Nothobranchius furzeri: one gene and its partners. The protein of the gene in region 2 interacts with the protein of the main gene of each other region in a pairwise test. Links are inferred from orthologs where the notes say so. Each region holds a gene or a part of one and is shown on either strand. Other genes may lie near its edges.

What was found.
Region 1: the proteins of hnrnpul1 (region 2) and prmt2 interact in a two-hybrid assay, tested with the Homo sapiens proteins (2 studies listed by BioGRID and IntAct). The link is inferred for Nothobranchius furzeri from reciprocal best matches to the Homo sapiens genes HNRNPUL1 and PRMT2.
Region 3: the proteins of hnrnpul1 (region 2) and sf3b4 interact in binary tests that used the Homo sapiens proteins (3 or more experiments, as listed by UniProt). The link is inferred for Nothobranchius furzeri from reciprocal best matches to the Homo sapiens genes HNRNPUL1 and SF3B4.

What each region holds. Positions count from the first base shown.
Region 1 is NC_091754.1:17,486,200-17,491,834, reverse strand, and holds the start of prmt2 (protein arginine N-methyltransferase 2), read right to left. Parts: upstream 3,620-5,635; 5' UTR 3,570-3,619; coding exon 3,483-3,569; exon of another isoform or gene 3,450-3,482; intron 3,418-3,449; coding exon 3,226-3,417; intron 1,822-3,225; coding exon 1,660-1,821; intron 1-1,659. UniProt on the Homo sapiens protein: Arginine methyltransferase that methylates the guanidino nitrogens of arginyl residues in proteins such as STAT3, FBL, histone H4. Acts as a coactivator (with NCOA2) of the androgen receptor (AR)-mediated transactivation.
Region 2 is NC_091753.1:58,647,107-58,652,539, reverse strand, and holds the start of hnrnpul1 (heterogeneous nuclear ribonucleoprotein U-like protein 1), read right to left. Parts: upstream 3,386-5,433; 5' UTR 3,295-3,385; intron 2,814-3,294; 5' UTR 2,779-2,813; coding exon 2,574-2,778; intron 2,193-2,573; coding exon 1,929-2,192; intron 1,783-1,928; coding exon 1,593-1,782; intron 554-1,592; coding exon 480-553; intron 1-479. Other genes in the region: opa3 (optic atrophy 3 protein homolog), read right to left, coding at 4,419-4,747.
Region 3 is NC_091759.1:1,629,379-1,634,933, reverse strand, and holds sf3b4 (splicing factor 3B subunit 4), read right to left. Parts: upstream 3,612-5,555; 5' UTR 3,377-3,611; coding exon 3,343-3,376; intron 2,907-3,342; coding exon 2,778-2,906; intron 2,693-2,777; coding exon 2,150-2,692; intron 2,056-2,149; coding exon 1,885-2,055; intron 1,660-1,884; coding exon 1,513-1,659; intron 1,418-1,512; coding exon 1,269-1,417; 3' UTR 1,090-1,268; downstream 1-1,089. UniProt on the Homo sapiens protein: Component of the 17S U2 SnRNP complex of the spliceosome, a large ribonucleoprotein complex that removes introns from transcribed pre-mRNAs.

The DNA of each region.
Region 1 (5,635 bases), on a different chromosome or scaffold from region 2:
AATTCACACCTTCCATTAGAGCAAGCCTCTGATTGGTGGGTAGAATCAGCCCACATGGGCTTAAGACAAGGATGTGTGGAATCAACCGGGCCAGGCTGGGGCCGACTGGGGCTACCCGGCCCGGGCCGACCCGGTACAGATGGGAATGGCCCAATAGTCCCTGCAGCGTTTCCTTGGTCTCCCTTAAGGTCTCCTCCCAGTTGGGCGTCCCCAGAAAACTTCACTAAGGAGGTGTTCAGGAGGCATCCTGACCAGATGCCTGAGCCACCTCAACTGGCTCCTCTCGATGTGGAGGTGCAGCGGGTCTACTCTGAGCCCCTCCCGGATGACCGAGCTTCTCTCCTCTACTCTAAGGGAGAGCCCGGCCACCCTGTGTAAAAAACTCATTTCGGCCGCTTGCATCCGATTCTGCAATCTTGTTTTTTCGGTCACTACCCAAAGCTTGTGACCACAGATGAGTGTTGGAACGTAGATCGACCGATAAATCTCGAGCTTTACCTTCCTGCTTTTATTGCCATACGTGCAATAAACAACCTTAGGAAATTGCTGCGGTACTTGGTGCAAAAAATAAAAATGAAATAAGAAATACGCACAATAAAAAAATAAATATAAAATTAGTGGCACTGAGCTGCTGTGAATATATAATATTAATATTATATAAAAAATTATATTATATTATTAATAAACCAAGAAACAAACTGCCTGGTTTTACACCATAAAAAAATTATGTTAGCTAGCTTATTAAATTGTTCTAATAATGGTAAATGGTCTGATTTTGTACAGCGCTTTGAATCATCTACTGACTCCAGGGCGCTTTATGCTCACATTCAAACACTGGTGGTGATGAGCTACACTGTAGCCACAGCTGCCCTGGGGCAACCCGACAGAAGCTAGGCCACCGGGTTCTCTGATCAACACAAGTACGCAACAAGTGTGACGTGTCTTGCCCACGGACACGACGACAGGTTGGTGGGAGCAGGGTTTGAACCAGCGACCTCAAATCAGTAACTGACCACTTCTTCCACCTCCCACATGTTACATGGTTACGATGCGTTACACTATTTAAAAAAATGGCAGAAAAGGTGCCAACAACAAGTTGAAAAGACTTTTATCGTTGTTGGACGGCATTCGTATGGTCTGGTGTTAGAACATTTTCTATGACTCCAGGGGGGTCTGCAGAAAAAGGGGTTGAACCTGTTTTTTTTTAATGTAGCTCATTTGAACGTCCGTTTCCTACAACATCCACTGCACCTTTAAATAGCCTGGCCAGCCTTCCTTATGGGAAGCATTGGCATGTTGTAGAATAGACAGAGGGTGAGTCTGGCAGGCCAGGCTACCTTAGAAACACGAAGCTGTTCAAACCAAAGGGTTCAGTCCTGTAGAAATAGTGTTTGTCCACCAGATGGCGCTCTAACCAAACTGTTCAACATAAAGTTGACCTGAACCACTTAGTGACTGTTTCTTTCCAATTTGTCTTTTTTTTAATTAAAACCTTAAAGGCATCAAGTTAAAATTTTACTTTGTATGATATATAAAGAGATCTTTACTCTGAATATATGGAATCATAGAATAATAATCATTCAGGAGACACTTGCATACTTTAATGCTAACTGAACATTCATTTAAGCCGACATGGTTGAATTTCAGTGTCACAATTACCACTGACGGTTGCGCCAACTGAGCGCAGAACAAGCTGATGATGCCGGTTCCACAGCCGAGGTCCATCACCGCCTTGTTCTTCAGGGAGGCACTGTTGCGGAGAACAACCTGCCGGTACGTCTCGGTGCGGCTCCTGTCCGACAACATCTCTAGGTGAAGCTTCTGCATCGTAAGAGATAAACTGAATTTAACATGATGACATGGAGGGGTGAAAATATATCAGAACCATCAGAAACCGTGCTCCCAATCACTCCCGCTAACAGATGAAAAGTAGCAACATAAAACACATGTGTGGTTGATGGTGTGAAAGCAAACCCAACAGGTTTTAATTATGTAGCAGAAGGTGATTAATAAGTGGACGTGAGCACAAGGGCAGCTAGGTTGCTTTATTGAATATGCTGACGTGGTCGCTTTGGCTCATTGATCCTTTACCTGACCGAGGTGCAAATTAGAATCCACAACTTTGACTAAGTCTGAAACATCAGCAGCCTCACCGTGCTGTAAACTGTTCAGTTCCTGATGCCGTTCATGGTTCTGAGGCAGGAAACAAGATTTGTAATAAGCCCCTTTGTTCTATTCCAAACGCTTTTTCAGTTTTTGACTTGAATCCATAACGCTGTGCACACAACACTCCAGCAAATATATTCCATTTAATGGTCTGTTTTCTCTGCAGAGGAAAATCACAGTCACGATACGATTTTCAGAAATACAAAAGATCTGCAGGACCAGTCCTCTAGTCCCTGCAGTCGTAAAGAACAGAGGAGGCTAATGTGACTTTTTAATGGTGCTGCACTCTTTCTGACTATGTGCAGAAATCTCTGCACAACAAATCCATAATAAACCTGCAAATAACCTCTTAATTATTAAAGATTTGTTGAGGTAAATATCTATTCCTAGCCCCCACAAAATGAACACATAACATGCATGAATGACGAGGACAAGAAATCTCCTCTAATGAACAGAACAGTGGCAGAATCTCATTATCGATTTCCGGTGTTGTTATTAACAAAGCTTGAATTTTGTCAAAAACTCAAAAACACGTATTAATGTTTCTTTTATTTTAATGGCATTAAAGTATTTTTGAATCCGCCGCAAACTCATATGCTTCAATGCTACTGAGACAACATCAGTAAAGTCTCTACGGAGGTTAGAGATTAGGATTTAGGTGGAGAACAGGCCACACACACTGCTGCCTCAGGAGACTAACACTTTATTTATTTTTTTAACTTCAGCAGCATTCCTGGATGTAAAAATAAACCCCAAACTAAGCAGATTCTGCAAAAAAATTAAATAAATAAAATTTAAGAATGACATAATCATCTAAGGAACAACAGATGGGATATTTTCTCTGTGGGTGTGCCATTTCACTATTATTTCTCAAGTATTGTACTTTTTAAGTTTTTGTGTGCTTTACAGTCAAAACCTGACATGATATAGTGTAGAGCTCAAATTCAGGCTAAACTTATGAAGATATTGCAGCTTCTACACATTCTAAATGCACAAGTGTTGCTTTAATCATGCAAACCGACCTAAAGTTTCATAGGATAAATGTTTGATGTTTCTGACCAGTGTTCCATAGCTCCCAAAGTACTCTTCATCCTGCCAGGGGTCTTCTATAGAGGTGTCTTCCTCCTCAGCTGTGTCCTGGCGCAGGTAGCTGGCAGGGACATACCCTATGACCCCACGGACCTCCGCCCACCACCAGGCTGCAGAAGGTTTGGCGTGAACAAGCAGCTTGTCCCCTGAGCTGAAACTAAGCTGCGGGACACAAGTGATGAAGTGAGTGTGTTCTGTGGCTGAACCGCTGTTTGTTTGCCTCTAACCTGCTCGGAGCCACTTCCTGAGAAATCAGACAAAGCCACAAACTCTTCAGGAGACGCGTCTTCTTCGTCCTCTTTCTCCGCCTCCATGTTCCAGAGGGTTCAGGCGAGTGAAGTGGTTTTGTTTTATAAATTGTCTCAAATTTTGAACCTGACAAATCTGGGTTTAAAAATAACCAAAACGTGCTTTGTTACCACAGCGAAACAAGCGGTAAAACGCGTCACGCACTTCCTGCTTTGGTGCTGCCTTCAAGTCTGTCGGAAATAGCTGAATTCGTGCGTGACCACTGTTTACACGCACATAGCATATCGTGCTTTAAAAAGAACTGAAAGATAGAATTTGAAACTAAACACAGCAAGAACACACCAACGATAGCAGATCATTTAAAGGGGAACTGCGAGTTTTTATTTTACTCTCTAGACCAGGGATGTCCAAACTTTTCAAGGCGAGGGCTAAAATGGCTGTTTAAAGTCACTGGGGGCCACAAGAATGTAGGTTTCTTCATAAAAAATTGCAAGCATTATTTTGTGGCAATTTTTCTTATTTGTGCTCTTCAAAATGAACCCAAAATAGGCTAATAAGTAAAAATCTCAACACAAACATGTTAGAAAGTGGGTTACATTCCACATGGAAAGACAAAATTCATCATTCTAAAAATTCAAATGGAGGCCTTACAAAATCGCTTGGAGGGCCGTAAATGCCCCCCGAGCCACACTGGACACGCCTACTCTAGAGTAAATACAAAACTATATAATTAAGCTCCTTGCTCAAAACTAGTCTCGCATAAAGTGAGCAGCTTTTTAAGTACTTTCTAGAATGAGCCGTTCTTTCACTTTAAGCAAAACAGTTTCTGGTCCCTGATTGGTTGCCGTTGGAGGAGGTCATCCAGCATCTGAAGTTGAAGGGATTCTATGATAATTTTATTTGTGATGTCACAATATAGAATTTTTTGAAAAATAGTTTTTTCTGTTCTTATCTTGCACACAGAGTAGCAAAGTTTTGTTTTTTTACGTTACCTGCTGAAAGTTTCGGCGTTGCAGAGATTCGCCATTCTGGCGGCGTCACTTCCGCTGTTTATCCACTGAAGATGCCTAAACGAAGCGATTGAGATTGGTAAACGTGGACTCTGGGCCATGAAAAGTGATGGAGTTTACACGCTGGATCATTCATGGGACGTGGTGATCGGCAGGGAAGGTGCGGGCTGTAGAGGGCGACATCGTTCCACACCGCCCGGGATTAACAGCAGAAGTGACGACACCGCAGAAGCTCTGATGATGGCGACTGTGATGCCCTGTCAGCAAAAAAAAAAAAAAAAAAAAAAAAGATAAAGAAGAAAAAACATTTTGCTTCGCTTTACAAAATAAGAACAGAAAACCCATGGAAATAGAAGAGAAACACAGAAAAGCACAAGGAATTTTTGAAACAGCTCATTTCAGACGAATAACACCTGAAGTCAAACTCAACAAGTGAAAGCACAGATTTTATCCTTGTTTGGATATGTGTAGGGGTAGTAGAGTCATATGGCAGCTCTAAAAATGCAAAAAGTGCATTTTGCACACGTCCCTGTGAGTTTATTGACGTTGGGGAAAAGCTGGTTATTTTTCAGCTTGAATTGCTTGTTCTTCTCATATTCTACATGTTTGAATTTTTTTATTTAAAGTACATAAAAGGAAAAAAAAAAACAACTTTGCCTAAACTGGTTCGTAAATTAAATTTTCAATTGTGAAAAATCTAATATTTGTTTCCTACAATGGCTTGGGAATCAGAATCAGAATCGGTTTATTGCCATTGTCAGTGAACAAACAATTCACAAACTAGGAACTTGCTTTGGTACTAAAGTGCTACATATAACATGAACACATAATAAGATTAAAAATAGAATAAAACTTTCAGCTATAAAAATGGCAGGTAATGGTAACACGGCCGATAACGTGACGAACAACACCCAATCCACTTTGGTATGTTAATCTGTATTTATGTAACTTTTCTAAACATAAACTTGCCTCTACTTAACACTTATTGGCAGTGTATAAATGTAGAGTGACAGTATACAGTATAAAATAACATTTATTATAATATTAACAAATTTAATTACAAAACCAACAAAACATAGAAACATCACTGGGTAATTTTCAGTGAGATAAACATGTTACAG
Region 2 (5,433 bases):
AAACAGTCACCCTACCCCTAACAAAGCAAACAGGGTTTAGTTTGCTGCTGCTCAACAGCAACAGAAGCTGTTCCACTAAGTCACTTTATTTATTAAAAAGGTGAACTGGGATCATGTCCTGTTTTTGGTAACGTTTCAGACTTGGTTGATATGTGAATGTGACCGTATCAGATCTGAGTGTTGAGTCTAACCCAGCAGCTGTGTCTGGAGCCTCTGTGTTACTGAGAACTGAGGCTGCTGCAGCCAGAACCAACACCAAGCACTAAGTTCATGGCAGACCAATCTCCAGACCACAGCTGATTTGGAAAACAAGATTTCAGACCTCTCAGTGGAAACGGAGGACGTGATTAGCGTTAGCCTCAAATCCAGCTAACTCTGACCCGTTAGAACGCCTCCAGCAGAAGAAACGAGAGCCGTCACTTGAATTTTTACACCAAATGTGGGTTTTTAAAGATGAAAAAGTAAAAGTTTGAACTTACATGGATCAATTGTCACTAGAGTGTCGTCAATGTTCTCCTCCTCATCTTCAGCAGGAGGCTGGGGTGTTCGAGATCTGTGCACAACCAGAAAAGGATCACCTTTAGAGGCTTGAACAGAAAGTGGTCTGGTTTGGGTTACAGCAGCTGCGTTATTTTACATCACTTTGAAGTTGGATACAAAATGCCATTTACAGCTTTTTTCCCGTGAAAATAGCACATTTTTCCCTTGAAAAATATTTCATAAGTCAACATTTTTTTGATTAATTTAATTTTTGGCTGCAGAACTCACAAAACACAATAAAACATTTGCATTTCTGATATTTGATGCCTTCAGTGTGGTTTATGATTAAAGTATGCACTGAAAAAAATAACAATTTAAATATTTCTGTGTCAGAGCTTTGGAATGACACACGCAGGCATACAAATGTTTGTTTAGTCTTTCTACTTTTCCCTTCTGGTGCACAAAAACACTTACACACAGACGGCCAGTTGAACCGTTTATTGCAAAACATCACACAAAGAACAAGTGAGGGTGTGAGTGGTGGGGGCGCTGACCGGTGCAGACAATGCAAAGAACAGTTATGTGCTCTTTGCACACAGCCTGTCCACATTTACTGCAGACGCGTGCACGCACACTCCTCTTCCCTATGCAGAGGTGGCATTTTTTTTTATTGCTGCAGTCGGCACAGAAAGACACCCAGCCAGCCTGACTCGGTAAATAATGCAGGGAAAACTCTTTATGCATATTTGTCAATAGTTGAAAGCAATTTTACCTTTAGTTTTCCTCCTTGCACTATTAGAGTAACACAAGAAGAACGTATTTTTATAAAGCACTTCTCCAAATTAAAATCACAACAAGTCGCTTCACAAACACATTAAAACATGAAGAATAAAACAGATAATGGGAGAAAAAATGATGTTTTCATGGTATAATTTATATGGTTATTTTGTGACCATGTTGAACTTTGATTTCAATAAAATCGTGAATTAAACTCAAATCGCAATTTCTTGCAAATGTTCAGCCCTAATTTGCAAAGACAAAATTACTCACAAAAACACAAACACTGTGTACAAAAAAATACATCAAGAAGCTTTATGGGTTAAGCAACTTACCTCTTCTCGTAGCCGTAGCGCCGGTTCTCCTCGTGTGGCCTCTTACGGCTGTAGTTTCCACCTTTATCTTCCACTTTCACCCGCTCAGCCAAGTCTGCAGCATCTCGTTCTTGCTGCTGCTCTCCATCCTGCTGTTTGTTTTCAACAGGTTCAGTCTCCTCTTCTTCTGTTTTTACTTTGACTGCAACTTCTAAAATACAAAATCATTTTTAACATGTGAATAAAACTCGCTGTCAAATGTTCTCTCAGCAGAATAACAGTGACCACATGATTAAATTAACAACATTTTTGTGGTAGAACTACAAAATGCTTGAAAGTTAGAAACTGAATAGTAACCATTTTTAATCTCCACTCTCTCCTCCGGCAATTCTTCTGGTTTTGTCTCCTCCTCAAACATGTTTGATCCGTGAATATCCTCATCTGCTGTGAAGTCCGGTGCGCCTTGACCCAAATCTGAATCTTGCTGGCCTTTGCGAGGCTCGCCTTCTGCCTCCTCTTCCTCATAATAGCCACCAGAATCTCTGCCTTCATCTTCGTCTTGCGGAACATTTTCATCATCACCACCACTTTCATTTCCAAAGTCTTGAGCTGCATTTGCACCTAAAACGGAGAAAACGTTTAATTGCAAAAAAAGTCAAATGAATGATTTAAAAGATATATATATTTATTTTATGGAGACTAGTAAACAAACAAGTTGTGTTCAAATATTTTTTTCTAAAATAAACAAGAACAATTTTTTTTATAATCGTGTAAAACAAAATACAAAGTGTCAAACTACCAAAACAATCTTAAACTCAAATCAATTAAGTAGTAGTAGATGAAGTAACTGTTTATGAGCAAATGAGACAATGACACGTGTCATCTTAGCAGCAGGCTTGGGGAATTATTGTTCATAACTTTTAAAGTGTGAAATGGTCCCAAATCCTAAACTAGACAGCGAATAAAAGAGTAAAGCTATAACTACAGCTAACGGAGCTCTACCTTGTTCCTCTTCTTCCTCCTGGTATTCCTGATTGTGGGCATCCTCCTGCTCTGCCTGTTCAGATGTTTCCTCCTGAGCTTCTTCCTCCAGGGCGGATTTCAGCCTCTCCATCAAGTCCGCCTTCAGGCCTTTAGTATCCAGGCCGCGGCGCTGGAGCTCTTCCTTCAGCTCGTTTACTTTCAGTTTCTTTACGTCTAAACTCATGGTCGATGTAATTTGTTCACGGTTGTGGTCTTTCTCTAACAACGCAGAAAGAACAGAAGCGTAGTTAGCATCGATGAGCCCCAACTTTCAAACGGATCCTTGTCGCGCCGTTTCTGCCTGAACAGGATACGTAATGTTTTAGCTAGGCTAACACCTATGAACAGATTTACACAACTCAAATATGAAGTCTTGATGACCTATAACAGACAAGGCTCGTAAATATGTTTAAATTTATGTTCTGTGAGATGAAAAAATGTCACTCAACTACATTTGTTTGTTTCCTATAATGAAAATTGTCAGTGCGGCTAACGACGGATACACTTTGAGACTAGCGTTAGCTTGTGTTCCGTCAAGCAATGCAACACAAGATACTTTAATTTTGATAAAATACGCCTTCTGTAATGCGCCTTCTGATACTTAAGATTCTCATGCAGATGCTACAGTAAATGCATCGCACATACACTTTATAACGTAATAATAAAATACAATTTCATTACAAATATAGCTGAGGCCTACCTTCTTTGACGCGAGCTGCGCGGGTTATAGTCGAGGTAAAAGACTGAAAGAACAACTAGCGCCCCCTAGAGCCGCACACCAACATCACGACAGTAAATCCAATGCGCACGCGCAAAAGGGTCGGTTTTTCACTATTACCCTTTTCTAATGTTTTTCCGAAATGGTAAATTTATAATTGACTTTATTAAAGTATTCACACTAATGTGTCGGTCTACACACATATATGAAATTGTGGCAGTGATTATATATATATATATACATATATATATATATATATATATATATATATATATATATATATATATATATATATATATATATATGTATATATAGCTATGAGGCCTTGTTTATAAGTAAAACATCTGTTTTATCTTTATTTTAGGTAGGCCTAGCTACAGTTGTCTTATTGTAATTTCCTCTGTGTACAGGACTTACCTGGGCTTTTATGTCCTGCGTAAAGTGCTTTATAAATAATCTGTAACTGGAAATAGTTAAGTGAATTTAAAACTACACATCAAGTAAAAACTCAAGCATCAAGCGCATAATACAGCACACCCATGGTTTAGCTCACACTGAAGAGGGGATAACAACAGAATTACACAGCATATTGATTTAACACCATCCTTACTCAGGTTTATATAAACCAATAATCATACATCTGATGTAAAAACTGTAGAAAAATAACAGCTGTGATCTGATTTAATTTTTTTGGAATGCATTTAATAACTCAGAACACAAATCATCTGCTGAGAAACACAAAGCAAAATGTTCAAATTCTATAAGATTTGTTTACTTGAATTGATATGGAAGTATGCTCAAGCTGCTATAAAATAAATTAACTCTAAGTTCACCATTGCCTCTCATGTAGTTAATTTTATTTTAAGTAAACATGCAAAGTCATCGATCAAAATTTACTATGAATATCATAGTGTTCCTTTATTGTTGCTCAAAGCATGAGCAAATGATAGCTCCCAAACTCACAGTGCACTGATGTCCACCTTTTTCTCCCAGCTCTGTGGCGGGGGGCAGTGTGGAGAAAGGCAGAAATCAAGTTGTGCACTTGACAGTGTTGTTTGAATGCACCTTCACACACAGGCCAACAATTAAATGCATATCAAATGTTGTCACTTTTTAGTGGGAGCAGGCAAGTAAAGCAGGAGCCTCTTGACCTCCTTCAGCTGAGTGTCAAGAGTCTCTGTTGTTAATGTTAACTCTGCTATTTCAGTCTTTAGGCTTGTGATAGTCTCGTTCAGCTCCTCCTCCTTGCGACGGGAGTTGGCGGCCTGCCTGCTGTACTCCACCACCATACACCCGCCACCGATAAGGAAAATGATTGCCTCTCCCAGCAACTCTGCACCCAACTCTGCTGCCGCATCCTCGTTCAGCGGCTTGATGGTGGCGCCCTTGAAGCCCATGATCCGCATCTTCGTTCTCATTTCGATCCAGTGATACACTGCAAGAACAAACAGAAGAACGCATGAGTTAAGCTTTCATTCTTGCACATAAAACACCCAAACTTGAAAAAGTGAACAAAAAAAGCCTCAAATTTATGGCAGAATAGAACTCAAGGCAATAGTTTTATAGCACAAAAATATTATAGACAGATGTTTTCTCTTTTCATTGTTTTAGGGTGTTTAGTGAGAAACTGGCATGCACAGGAAAACAGAAACGTTCTTCAAATCCCTTTTAAAGGCTTTATTTCTAACAGTTAATGTGTAATTTTAATATCCTTATTTAGTTTTTGTTTAGAGTACTCCATCAAGGGATTGCCACTGTTTTGCACATACCAACCTCAGTCTGTACATTTTATATCTCTTATCTTATTGTTTACTTTATTCATTTGTATATTTAGATTAGCCATTTTTATATTTTACTTGTTTTTACATTACTGTATTTTTGCACAACTCTGTTGCTGTGAAGCTCGCACACAAGAATTTCACTCGCATGTACTGTACCAGTGTACCTGCACATGTGACGTGACAATAAAAGTGATTTGATTTTATTTGATCTGCCCAGCCCCACAAGCAAGGCTTTTCCATGAATGACGGCACCAGAATCCTTTCACTTTTGCTTCTTTTATTAAAATTGTAAATAAATAGAAAAATTGCTGTAATTTTGCGTGTTTTGAGATACAGCTGC
Region 3 (5,555 bases), on a different chromosome or scaffold from region 2:
CTGACAGGCTAATTTCCGTCAATCCCAGACAGAGATGCTCCCTCCAGGGATTCTCGCGGCCGGTCACGACTCGGATTAGATTACAGGGCCGCGTCTCTATTCACAAAATCGGTCCTAATTTGCAGCGTGAAGCGCGCGGTCGGTGCGCACGCCCATCGCATCTTTCACAAGATGTCTTCATGTGAGAAGAAGAGGAAGAGGAGGAAGAAGAGGAGGGGGTAAAGCAACGAAGCTGCAACCAATAGCGTAAAAAATCCACTCACCTTAAATCCTGCGAGTCTCCAGCGCGGAGATGGAGAGGAAGAGGAGGAGGATGCGCACGAGGCTGTTGCTGTAAACCGAGTGATGATGATGATGATGCGCGCTTCGGAGGAGAGAAGCCCACGCCATCCACGCACACCGAAGTGGTCCCCTCCCCCCCTCGCGAGCTCACATCTCGCAGCGCACATCTTATTTTCTGGCGCAAATCTGTGCATAATTAGCGATTTGTTTAATTTTTTTTAAATGCGCGTTTTTATATTTTTAAGTTCAGGAACAATGTGTCCAAAAACCGGAACTCATCACACTATCAAACGTTGCGCACGTGCGATTACGCCTGATTCCTGTTGCCATGACAACCTTTGGTTGCTTCGGGATTGGCTCCAAGGTACTTCTTACTAATATTTTTTTAACTTCAACTGTGAGAAAATAAATGCGCAAATCAGCTGATGGATCTATTTTAGGAAAATTAAATACAGCATCCAAAACTTAAGGAAACTATTCTCCCCTTTTCTTTTATTTCACAACTGACTAAAAAAATTTTGTAGAGCAATAAATGTCCAAAGAAAACATTTTAAAAAAATTCTTTTAAAAATATTTTTGGATTTTAATCCCAACAGTAGGGAATATCACTTTACTTTTTAAATAAAACCATAATACCTGAGAGTATATGACCTACTGGGGCCCCTGCCTCAAGTTATAAATACCTTTTGGACATAAATTAGAACATATTACTCTCTCACCTGCTTATTATGCAGCTTTTACTCATAAACTAATTTCTGGTACATTACAAGTTTATTAGTAATAATTAAACGCAAAAATATCCAAAAGTTGTACTAAAATGTTTATTTGCCAATTTTCTGTTTATCTGTACAATGAGCATAAATCAAAAACAGTTGGTTAAATTACTTCCAAGATAACAAAATCCAGTAGATCGAAACATGTATTTAAAAAAACAACAAGCTGAATGTTCCTGTGGTCTGACGTGGATCACGGAGCTCTTGGTGCTCTCAAGGGACCCGAGGAGGGGCACCGGGAGGTCTTGGTGGCATTGGAGGTGCTCTCTGGAAACCAAAAGGAGGTGGACGAGGAGGAACGGCACCATAGCCGGGAGGAGGCATGGGGGGAGGTCCTCTCATACCTGGAGGCACAGGGTGGGCTTGGGAAAAAAAAAAAAAAAAAAAGAAATAACAGGTTAAAAACAACTTTCATTTAAAAAAAATTGTATTTTTGAGAAAATGCCACAGTGCTCACCCATGGGGGGTCCATACGGTGCTCTGGGAGGCATGCCCATAGGAGGTGGGGGCATGCTGGGGGGCGGTGGAGCTCGAGCCGATCCTGGTGGAGCAGGTGGAGGCACCATGCCAGGAGGAGCAGGCGGCATGGGCATCTGAGGCATACCTGTGGGCCCGGATCAAACAAATAAAAATAACTCATTCAGGGCTAACAGCTGCATTTTAATAACCTGACATTTAAATTGAAACATTATTGTTTTTATTTCTTCACATTTGAAGGAGATGACTGAGGTTGATCCTGCACAATTTTATTAATCGTTATTGGACTTCTTAAAGCTAAAATGGGGAGCAGAGACTTAAATTTTCAGGCTTTTCTGCAACCGAGTTATACCTGGAGGCATGCTGGCCGGTGCGAAAGGTGGAGGAACAGCTGGAGGTCCACCAAGAGAAGATGGAGGACCTGGTGTCCCTGCTGATGGAGGCATGCCCATAGAAGGGGGCATCGTTGGAGGCATTGATCCAGGGGGAGGAACGTGAGGAAAGGCACCAGGAGGCGGCAAACCTGCGCAAAAAAAAAAACAAAACTATTATATAATTAACCCAATAAATGTAGAAAGGTACTTCTTTATCGGCAGTTAAGATTAGAGCAGTCATACCATGAAGAGGAATCCCGGGGCCCATTGCGGTTAGGAGTGGCGTCTGTGCAGATGGTGGGGGCGGAGCATCTGCAAACAGCTGATGTGGCCTGTCTGCCTGCGAGAGAGGGTTTTGTGCAGCTAGCAGTCGCTCTGCCGCTGAGCCATGGCGTTCTCCTTTAGAATCTTTCTTGAACGCGTACGACACAGTGATGGGCCGGTTGCACAGGTACTGGCCATTCATGGCCTCGATGGCGGCGTCGGACGCATCAAAGCTGGCAAAGTTGATGAAGGCGTAACCCTTGGAGTTGCCGGTGTCTGGGTCTCGCATGATCTTTGGAGTTTGTAGAATAACGCCAAAAGCACTGAACGTGTCGTAGAGCAGTTTTTCATCGATCTCCGGGTCCAAGTTCCCGATGAAGATATTAGCGCCAACATCCAGGTTTTTGTTGTGGGCGGAGGCCTTATTCACGCGAATCGGTTTGCCGTAGAGCTTAATCATGTTCATGATTTTAATGGCATAGTCAGCATCTTCCTCACTGAGGAACTCCACAAATCCATAACCTGAGTGGAACAGTTTCATTTGTTATGTACATTGTTACAGTGAATTTTAGGACTTTCATCCCATCTTGAATAGCCTGATTCTCACCTTGATGTTGACCTGTGACCCGATCTTTGGGCATGTGTGTGTTGACAACAGGGCCAGCCTGCAGAAAAAGCTCCCATAGCAACGGCTCTGACACCTTCTCATCCAAACCACCGACATACACGGTGGCATCTGGAAACACAAGAAAATACCTATTAAGGAAAACGGTGTTTACATTGATAGGTGAGCATTGCTACATGCTAATGTCGCGAGTTTTTAAGGCTAACTTTAGTTGTTTAGTGGTTCTAGTCCTGACTTGGAATAATCTCTGCATTTCAAATAAACAACATAAAACTCCCGTATGCTATCGTGAAGTCAAGCATTAAGTAATACAAGCATTAAGTAATACAATTAAAATAAACAAAAAACGGCTAACTTAGCTAGAAGCTAGGCTAACGAGACCGGAGACTTCCATGTGTTTGAGTACGCATTTACCCCCAAAACACGGGCTAATTAGACAGCTAACATTGGTGGGAAAGAGCGGATAAGAATTTCAATTGTTATAAATCAAGAGATATCGCTAAATAATGAAGGTGTAAGCGTTAAACCATTTAAACAATGAAATTACCTTGGTTTCTTTCTGAAATTGGTCCCGCTGCCATGTTGAATGACCAACGCTGGGAGAGCGTTGTGAAGGGAAGGCCCGCCTCTTCCGGTAAAACCCAACAAAATAAAATAAGATCAAATAAATTAAAGTAAAAATAAACTAATTCTTCTGTTTTTGTAGTTACATAAAAAATTGTTATACTCTGATTACACTAAAGACCCAGACATTCCTAAACAAAAAAAGACAGCAAATAAATGAATGTTAATTAAAAACTTGAAAGGCAATCAAAATCACTAAGTTTCATTTGAATTGATTTGATAGTTTTTTCTGGGATATTTTTAGTTGTATGGCACTTAACCATTAACAACAAATTCAAAACAAAGCCACAATTATTTTTATTATTTGATTTATTTCATATACATATAAATATACTAAAGGTATAAACATGGAATACAAAGTGTTCATAGAAAATACACACATTTAGGGTCTCAAAAATTTTAGAAAGTAACTATTTTTTATATATATATATATATATATATATAAAACACACATTAAAAATAGAAACTAACATCATGCACCAAAGACAAAAAATAAAACTGTTGCCAAAGCTGTTTATAAAATGAATTTAAAATAAGCATCAGTAAGGGAGCCTTCATAGATAATAGTCATTAAAATAACTGAAAGAGCTGAGAATAATTAATGGCTTGTGAAGAAAAATACATCTACTGAACTTTATTTTAAAAAGTAAACCTTAAAAATAAACAAAATTAAAGACCTCCAGGCTCACTCATTAAACCTGCTCAAATACACTTATTACATTTTCTTTTTTTGGCCCCTAAAACGAGAACAGAATTTCACAACACAAACCAAATAATGCAACACATATTTCACAAGCTGATTCACTAAAACCCGGTGTTCATAAACACAATCGCCTTCTTTTAACCTTCATAATATTTGTCACATAATAAAGAAATAATTTGACATTATGGCATAAATATGAGAAAGTATAGCACTGTCATGATACTTAGAGATAGTTTGGCTAGCAGGGAGCGAACCAAGTTGCTTCCTGGTTAGGAAGTGTTGCTTGGCAATCACCAAAGACCACAGAAAGAGAAAGGTTTAGACTAATTAAAAAAAACAAGTTATAGGCTGTTTTGCAATATGAGTACTTGTTTAAACGTGTGTACTATATTAATTGTGAAATGTCATTGGCGTTAGCCCGTGTACTGTTCCAATACCAAGTACGCATCATGGCAAGTACGCTCAAAGTTCCTGGATGTGTTCGTCCTTCACCCATTACAATAAAGTATCCATCTTTGGACTTGGACCAGAAAAGTATCCCATAATGCATTTAGTCACAAACCGTTATACCACAAATAGATAGTAAAGCTCATAAAAATAAAAATAATTACGTCTTCAAAGGGCCGCTCAAAAGACTGGCTCTTTTGAACGAAGCAAAGAAGTCTCAGTGAGAGTGGAAGGAGGGGGGCTGTTCATGATGGACGAAACCATAATGCATATTATTGAGCCTTTTATATACTTCAGCCTGATAATTTTGTTGTTTTATTTCATATTTTTTAGCAGTAAACCAGTTTTTTTTCGCTTGAAACGTTGTCGGATGGAATAGTCAATTAATCAACAGAAGCTTAGAATAGAACACTTAACAAAAAAATATTTAGCCTTTAAAAAAGAGAGGCAGTTGAATGCACAGAGTATGCATGTGCCGGCGCATGGTCAGGATGGTACCACCTTTGACTCAATTTGAGCCAGGAAAACCCTGGTTTAAAATAAAATTATTTTTGTATTTTCTTTTCTATTAAAAAAATCCAATTTTTCTGTCCCAAGAGGACAATTTAGGCTCTCGTCTTGAAAAGTTTGGACACCCCTGTTTGGCTAAAGGTAGCTATAGTATATGCATTATTCTATAAAAGACAGAGAAAAGCTACTCTCTTTAATAAAACTAAACTCTTCCTTCTAGTGTTTTATTTGCCAGCTACTAAAATTCTGTGTAATAAGTTTCAGCTGCTGATAATTTAGCTTTCAGCCACAAGAATGAGCCCGTGTGTTTCTGCTTTCCAAGCTTCTGCTCATTTCTCTCAAATCAAGAGCCCCGCTTCAACAATGACTCGCTTGTCTTTTTTACATTAAGCTGCCAAAATACTTCTTGTTGAAATGCCTTTATAATGTATTAAATATATTCTAGAAAAAAAAAGAAAAATATGTTTTTAAATTCA